Nothobranchius furzeri: one gene and its partner. The protein of the gene in region 2 purifies or fractionates together with the protein of the main gene of each other region. This does not show direct contact. Links are inferred from orthologs where the notes say so. Each region holds a gene or a part of one and is shown on either strand. Other genes may lie near its edges. The genes, in order: tbl2 and eif2ak3.

Region 1 (4,325 bases), on a different chromosome or scaffold from region 2:
AGAAAGAAAAACAAATCAGTTATATTAAAGTGTCGTAGATAATCTGTGTGTTTTTTCCATTTAGCAGAGTGATTGCTTCAGATATCAAACATAGGAACTGGATCTCACTGATGAATTTCAAGCTTCATTGTGCAAACAGAACTAACGATTTAACACCCACTGTGTCCTCATCAGATGACACCCTTGGTGTTGAATCATTAGTTCTGTTTGCACAATGAAGCTGGAAATTACTCAGCGTGCCCCAGATCATCTTTGGTATTGGAAGCTGTTTGTCTTATCGCTTTTAAATTCAAAGCACAACAAGCCTCCTCTGTGGCTCTGTGTTGTAAACAAACACTTTTATTACCTGTGAGAGTTGTTAGAAAAAGCAAAAGCATGAACTCCTGCAGAATGGCCTTTCAGATCAAACGCTCGAGCGACCTCTCTGAACTCTCCTCCCTTCCCAAAGCAAACCTCCCAAACCTTCACGTCAGGAGTGAAACCACAGGATGCTACAAACCTGAGCACAGGGAGAAAACAATGACAATCCTACAGATTTTGATATGCATCCTTTAAAACTATGCAGACCAATTTAGCTTGAGTTGTTTTAGTTTTAGGTTTGTGCAAAATGTGCTGTGGTTAAGCCACCATCAAACCCTAAAAGTCTATTTTGGTGCAGGATGTTTACGCCACCACTGAGAGTTGAAAAGGTCAGGGGAAAAAAAAAAAAAGATTTTAGCAACGAAACCCAGCTACAGATATGCTGAGTCTAAAAAGTAAACACCACATTTTTAATTTAAGTTCCTCTGACTGACCTGCCACAGGGGGAGACAGCAGCATAAGAACTGGTCATCTGGTTGGTGTTGATGGAGGCCAGCAGCTCTCCTTTCAGGTCCCAGATGTGGATAGTAGTGTCTGTGGAGGCACTCATGATGAACTTGCCTGCATGGAGGAAAAAATATCCATGTTTAAAACTTGTGAGAAACATGGAGATCTTTAACATAAAAATAAAAACAACAAGAACATAAAAGAACATTTAATTTATTAATGTGTCCTGTACCCGTCTCTGCAATGCCAATATTGATTATTGGGGCCTTGTGTTTCTGTGGGAAATCCTCAGGTGCAGCCTTGAAGCTGAAAGTTCCGTCATCCTTCTTGATCATTTTTAAGATGCGTATCGTGTCTCCGTTGGCGAGCCAGGTGATAAACGCCCTACAGGACAGGAATGCTTTGAATTGAGTAATGACCCAAAAATGACTAACAGCAGCAGGTTAATGTCTGTGTTAATAAAATAAAAAATTAGGGTGGTTTTATATCAGAATGAGTATGACAGACCTGGAGTCTGGACTGAAGCGGACAAGCGTGGCGTGATCCAGCTCCACATTGGCTCTCAGACACTTGTGTTCCCGCTCCAGGAAGTCTTTGGTGCTCCAAATCCGAACGGTCCGATCATCAGCGCAGGATGCCAAGTACTTCCCGTTACTGCTGAAATCCAGGCATGTCACGTTCCCGCTGTGGCCCTAGAGGGAACACAAATGAGCAGGAGGAATTGTAAAAGGGCTAAATATTTAGAAAAAAAATCTCTATTTCTTGTATTTTTAACGCGCGTCCACCATTACTACACGTGAGCAGTAAATTCTGAGTCAATGATGCAAAAAGGCCACCCTTCAATAAATAAAATAAACTCTTATTAAGAGTGTTTCTTGTAATTTTAAGTGAGATAGTAACAAAAGTCTGGTTTTAGTTAGAAAGATTAAGGGACAGATTTTTAAAGAGGCAACAACCTCTTTACAATATCTTTACAAATGTAGGTGTGTGTAAGACTTTAATATAATTAGGTCAAATGATACAGAGGCTGAACGTGAGCTTATCTGTGAATAATACATGCACATTGTGGTAAAGCTGGTTTCGTGTTATGATCTGTGATCTTAGATGAGGTTTTGTGTGTGTGTGTGTGTGTGTTTTCAGTTTACCTTCAGTGAGGAGGCCAACAATGGATCGCTGAAACTGTGCTGTGCAGGTTTATCTTTGCGACTTCGCTGCTTTTCCTGCTTTGGTTTCTTAGACGTAGGGCCTTTTGCAGCACTGGATTCAACTGAAGCACAAATAGTTGTCATAATTTACACTGTGTGTGTGGGGAGGGGGGGATAGTTCTTGTCAACAAGTCAAAACGTCAGAGTATTTGACAACACAATTCTGACAATACGTCAGCTTGTCAATTAAAATATAACAGAGCATTTTTTCTAATTAATAATATCTATATATTATTAGTCTGAATTGGTAGAACTATAAATGCGTAAAAATAGAAGGCTTGCGTTTGTGAAGGACGTTATTCTATTAACGTCAACATAACTTAAGTGAAAACAGAAGAAACTGGTGAATCGCTAATTCATTATCACTTCAAGTATTTATTATATCTTAATTATTGTAATAAATGCCAACATCACACACTGATCTGATCGGAGAACATGTTTCACCAGTTAAATTATGGTAATAAAACGATACAATCAGGTTACTCAAAACCGTGACCCCATTGGTCCGTCAACAAAAGATGTCCCCATCGGCCAAAGGCAGGTGGTAGTCGCTGAAAAGTTCCTTCAGTTAATGTTTTCAGTCCGAGTTTAAATTGGTAGAGTGAATAATATTGAAAACACAGTGACTTTATATTAAACATCGAATTATTTGATAAACGAATAATTGCGTTAATTCAACAGACTCAAACGCTGCTAACTCTCCGCGTTTCTGAGTCACCAATGCGGTAATGTGCTCCTACCTGAACTCTCCACTGTTTGCTCTATTTCTTCTCTTTTCTCTTCTTTCCGTCTCCCCACCGCTAATGCCACCAGACCAACCAGTGCACCCAGTAATAAAGTCACAGCAACCAGAGCAGCTATCTCCATGTCGAAGTATTTCTGCCACGTATTTCATACACTGCTAAAAGCTAGCCCATTCTAACAGGGCTCTGCGCATGCGCTCAAATACAATTCTTTTAGAGATACGTTCACGATCCCCAATTTCAACCGTAAATATAAGCTGTAAAATTAAATAACTTAGAAACCGCATGTTCAAAATTTTCTAATTTAATTTCTGAAGTTGTGTAGCAATAACTATCGGCTTTATGTTTAATATTGGTTTGCTAAAAGCAAAAAGTTTATTCCTGAAAAAGAAATATACTCAAAGTGAATCATAAAGCCTGAGCTAGTAAAATGGAGACAAATTTTGTACTAAATCGTTATTCACCAGCTCTAGAAGATTTAATGTGTATTCTTACATGTCATTATCCCACACAGTGGCAAAAATACACTAAAGCTTTACATGAAATAAACTCACAGTAGGTGTAACTTCGTACTACTGATATTCAGTGAATCCAATAAAAATAGCTGTGGACCACCTAGTGGACTGGAATGTAATCGACAACGAGAAACGTGCAGAAAACGATGATAAATTATTGCTATGAAAACTTTTAAATACGTCAAAAGAAGCTCTCAACTTTTGATTCATTATAAATTCTTTGACTAATGGCAAATGACAAAATATATTACGTATATAATTCCAGCTGTAGTTTCCTTTCATACGGTGCACTGTGTGGGATTTTAAAGTCGAGCCAGATCACTAAATCACACTAAAAAGTGTTGCCATGGTACCAATAAATATAACTTTTAATGTTCACCAAATCACTTGCATTTCATTTTTATTTACATTTTTCGCAACAAAGCTTTAAAAACGGCTAAAATATCAAATGGAGTTGAACAATTGAAATTAATTTTAGTTTTCTGGTCATACGGTTTGATGACATGAGATAGTGAGGGGTTTCAGGTGTATTTGTTCAAGCATCCGCACAAACCCAAACTTTTTATTCATTCGAAATTGACCCAAAATAACTGCACAGGTGATAATCACTGAGTGAGAACAGGTCATTTTGACAAAAAAAAAAAAAGTATATATATATATAAATCCTTAAAGTCAGATGGAAATATAAGCCATAAAAACAAACCTGCATCTTTGAGACTTTGTCCTAAACAACCAGAAAACACTTTCAGTTCCATCAATGGTGGGTTGACTCGTGGGAGGTTAATTTTGCATTCACGACATAATATTTCTGAAGTTGGGGTAATGTGCTGTAAAGATTATTTTAAAAACAATTTATCACACCTTAGCAAGCAGCAGCTGAAATTAAAATCTAATATTTTCTGTAAATGAATAAAACATTTCAGTGCCTGGGATTTAAAAAGAGGTAGTCTGGCACAAACACACATCTCAGCAACTGAAAAAGAAATAAAAGATTGTTTTCACAGGCATGAAGTTGAACAGTTGGCTTTGGTTCATCAGCACATGTCAAAAGTAGT
Region 2 (4,254 bases):
ACCAGCTTCCAGGATCAGTGGGGGCTCAGCAGAGATCAGTCACCTGCTGCTCATCTGGGTCTATTATTAAAGGCGTTTCCCTGGTTACAGAGAGCGGACCACTTCCTCCCGCACCTTTCTGTAACCAGAGCCGAGAGTCCCGCTTGAATTATGAGCACTGACCCATCTTCTAGTTGCAATTGGACGACAAGTAGCCCAGCGCGGCCGATTGGTTGTTGCTAAGCAGTAGGCCGTTAGAAACCAGAAGAGCTAGTGCAGTTCCAGGGCCTTCAGGGAGAGTGAGGGAATAAGCGCCCTCTCACCTGTGAGCGCTCCCCGAGGGGCTCCAGAGCCCAACTGAGCCATCAAAGCTGGCAGCACCGTCACATCAGAGCTCATCCACTAACAGGTGGAGCAGCGCATTTCCAGAGCAGCTGACAGACGACAGGAGCGCCGCTTGTCACAATCCCAGGCTGGATCAAAGCAGACATCTAGAATATTTATAGATGACAGAAGATGACGAGAACGTCTCATACACAACAAAAACATCAGAGGGCTGCTTCTGGGGAGGATCGTCAACAAAGACGCAAACTCTCAGGGTTTCTCCTCACCTGGAAAGAGTGAGTCACCAATCAGCTGATCTGATTATCACCACAAAAGAATTAAAAGGTTGTACGTTCATTAGTGGTTGTGTAACCATCAATGAACCGGTTCAGGAGGAAACAGCAGGAAGAGCTGAAAGGAATTCCAGGAGAGGAACGACAGAAGATCGGACCCATTTACTGCTGGGAGAGGTTCTGATGCTGCAGACGTTCACGTCTGACAGAGAACCTCTGGAAACCCTGCTGCACAAGTCAGGTTCACTAAAACACAATATTACATTAACCCTACGCTCGCTGTGTGTGTGTGTGTGTGTGTGTGTGTGTGTGTGTGTGTGTGTGTGTGTGTGTGTGTGTGTGTGTGTGTTTGAACATCAAGGAAGGGTAAGAGCAAGACTAAACTCAAGAGCAACAGACAAAGGTAATAAATGCACAGGGAGTCCCATGGGGACACACGGAGACATGTGGGGACACACGGAGACATGTGGGGACACACGGAGACATGTGGGGACACACAGAGACATGGGGACACACAGGATTCATGGACACTCTTTACTAAACAAAAAAGTCACACAAGTTCCCGTTTTCGATCAGATTCAACAGATTCCTCCTCATCAAAAGCCACTTCAGGTCCAAACTTCTTGTTAGAAAATGCTCTGAAGTCTGAATCACAAGTGGGAGTCTAGTGTGCACTAAAGGCTCCTTGGTGAAGGAGAGGCGGCTCATGAGGGGAGCAGAAATGTTAGGGGATGAAGGTGCAGAGAGGGAGCAGGGTGTGACCTGCCGGCAGGGGAATAACCTGCACCGTACCTAGAAAAGCTTCTCCACTAATTACTTTCAGATTCCTTTCCAGCGTGCAGCAAACAGCTTCACCATTGTGGCACCAGAGTTGTGCTTGAGAGTAAACCAAAAACAAGTCCTGCAGCAGCTCAGCGGCCCCCTGCTGTGAGATCACATCTGCCTGAACCAAAACCCATCACCATGCTGCTGCTGCTGCTGCTGTGATGTTCAGAGGCTGCACCTATACCTGGACAGGTTTCTGGCTTCCAGGACTTTGATCCAACTACATCAACACCACAGACAGCCTGCTGGTGCTGTCTGGGGTTAGGTCCCAGCCAAAGGGAGCTGCAGGAGTGTGTGTAAAACAAATACACTCAGAATAAACACACACAGCATCAGGAACAGGCACCGAGGGTGGGCGTTGAACCGGCTGTTGCCGAGGAAAACGCTTCTCTCTCTGAGCAGCTGCTGCAACCTGAGTGGACCGTTCACCTGGACGTTCCCTCTGACAGCCTGAGATGTTTAGATCTGCTGGAGCCATTAGATCACGTGATTCCTGCTCCAGCTGGCAGCACCTCTGCTGTTGACACCAGACAGCTTTGGTGTTTACTGCACACCAGAAACAAACAAACCTCTGTCCCAGCTCACCTGGGACGTCCTGCTTTTGTTCTGTTCTGTTGAACCAGAACTTCCTGCTCGCGCTGAGGTGTCTCACGTTCATAAATGACCTCTAAAATCCATCTTTTCACAGCAGCCACAACCGCAGCTCCGGGAAACTTAACGTGACTCGATTATCGGACACAGACAGCACCTTCCTGTTTTCTGCTCATGGCGTTCACGTTATTGGGCATTTCCATGACAACACAGGTGTCACGTCAGCCTTCACGTCGCAGGTTTGAAAGTCGGTGAAACACATCAAAGTAAAAGCCGTCAACTTTTAGTAATTTCCAAGTCACCTGAAGTTGGAAACGAGCGTGTCCGATAATGGATGTCAGCAGCTAGCACCGTGTTTACCTTGTGGAGCGGACGCTTCCGTTACCGTCTTCGTACGGGTCGTCGGCCTCACCTGTCGACCCGTTCTCGTCGTCCTCCACGGTGACGTCTGCACCGGGGACCGGGGGGGTGCCTAGGCTCTCCAAGCCCCGCTCCATGACTCTCGGACCATGTTTTGCCGAGCCCGACACCCAGCCGGGTGAGGTCCCGGAACCGGTGGGCGCTTTGAGCAGCAGGAGCAGGAGCAGCAGGGAAGTGCTCACTCCAAAGTGAAGCCCCCTTTCCATTTGTAGAACTGGCACATTAGTGAAAGAGGAGACGCACACGCCACGGCCCTGGTAAAAGTTAGTATAAAAACAAGGTGAAAGTATAAAAGAGCCGAGGTTACGGTTATAAAAGTGTCGCGTGCTGGACGCCCCGCTGAACGAGCTCTTTAAGTAAACATAAACAGCCTCTGGGACACCATGTTGTTCTCTTTATACTAGACCCAGACTTTCCGTAGTAACGCTAAATCCCGCCTCGTTTCCACACCGGGATTGGACCGTAAACCCGCACGGGCCTTGCGTTTTAATGCGCGCGTTTCTCATTGCGTACTTCGCTGTCAGTTACACGTCCTCGCTTACTAAGCACAACATGATTGCGTTAGATATCCGTCACTCAAAGAGGCGGACCCGGAAACACCGGCCTCCAAACACTCCGTTTCATTGGCTAAACTCCTGTTCGTCACAGGTGCGCGTGCGCACTGGATAAGTGACGTAAAAAGTCCCCGGGGGCAAAATCTGTTTGGTTGTTGAGATTGGTCGGATGTTTAGTCGTTCGTCCAATGACAGAAAAGATAATGAAATCACGTAATGTTATTGGCCTAAATCAGTTTCGAGTGACCTCATGTGAGCACCTGATTGGTTAATTCAGCTGTCGCTTAGACGCAGTTGTCAAGAGCCGTCGACATGAAAAACAACAACGTGGCCCGGTGGAAGTAATCGGTGCAGTTCCTGTTTCCGGTTACGAGTTCAGTTTTACACTTTCACTAAAATGCAGCGACTGTGACACAAATCAAGCAAAGAAACGTGTTTATGAAGCCACGCTCCTAGCCTACATTTACGTGCCCGTGTTACTGATGAGGAGTTTATAGTCCTACCAGGTAACGGCGCTGCTGTCTCGTGGTGAGCATGGACCTGAACCACGTTTTCACGAATAGACCTCATTTTTGAGAGACGAACGCAGACACAGGAAATGTGGCCTTTCGATTGCATGGACACACTGCTGCCAGACACTTTAATCATCAATCCTTTTATAAGCATGAGTATGGCACAACACTGGGCAGTCTTTTACAGGCATTGAACACTGAAGTCATACAAAGGGGAAAGGTGTACAAGTACATTTGAGGTCTGTTTTCCTCCAACAAACACCGAGGCTTCAGAATTCGATCCTAATGACTGACTAGTTCAATTCCACAGGAACACGTTAAAGATGGTAGAACAAAAACATCTAAGGCTCGGAACAGCAGCTGACATTGGTTTATACAACAGAAACTTTAGTGTAAAGTGGCTCTAGACACCCAGTGACCTAACACCATAGTAACATAAAGGCAGGTATAAGCTTATACCTAATGGCATGGTCCCAACTTCTGCTAAAAGGTGGAGGTAAAAAAAACACATGAGAAAACACACAAATACATGCAAAACACCTCAAACTCGCAGACGATTCAAGGAAGACCTGAAGTTTCGTGTTGCACTTTTTGTTTTGGCATCATTTCCTCCAGTTGTTTCCTTATCCGAAAGCTTCCTCTGGTTTATCGCTGTCACACCAAACCAGGATACTCTCCAAGGCTGCACCAGTTTATGCTGGTTTAGGTGACCGGGACTGTAATGATCGAATAACTGAAAACTGGTCCTTCATTACA

The links.
Region 1: the proteins of eif2ak3 (region 2) and tbl2 purify together in Homo sapiens (affinity purification with western blotting; 3 studies listed by BioGRID). This does not show direct contact. The link is inferred for Nothobranchius furzeri from reciprocal best matches to the Homo sapiens genes EIF2AK3 and TBL2.

What each region holds. Positions count from the first base shown.
Region 1 is NC_091750.1:52,607,395-52,611,719, forward strand, and holds the start of tbl2 (transducin beta-like protein 2), read right to left. Parts: upstream 2,966-4,325; 5' UTR 2,880-2,965; coding exon 2,753-2,879; intron 2,075-2,752; coding exon 1,953-2,074; intron 1,500-1,952; coding exon 1,315-1,499; intron 1,192-1,314; coding exon 1,040-1,191; intron 922-1,039; coding exon 795-921; intron 500-794; coding exon 347-499; intron 1-346.
Region 2 is NC_091758.1:5,542,554-5,546,807, forward strand, and holds the start of eif2ak3 (eukaryotic translation initiation factor 2-alpha kinase 3), read right to left. Parts: upstream 2,824-4,254; 5' UTR 2,639-2,823; coding exon 2,373-2,638; intron 1-2,372. UniProt on the Homo sapiens protein: Metabolic-stress sensing protein kinase that phosphorylates the alpha subunit of eukaryotic translation initiation factor 2 (EIF2S1/eIF-2-alpha) in response to various stress, such as unfolded protein response (UPR).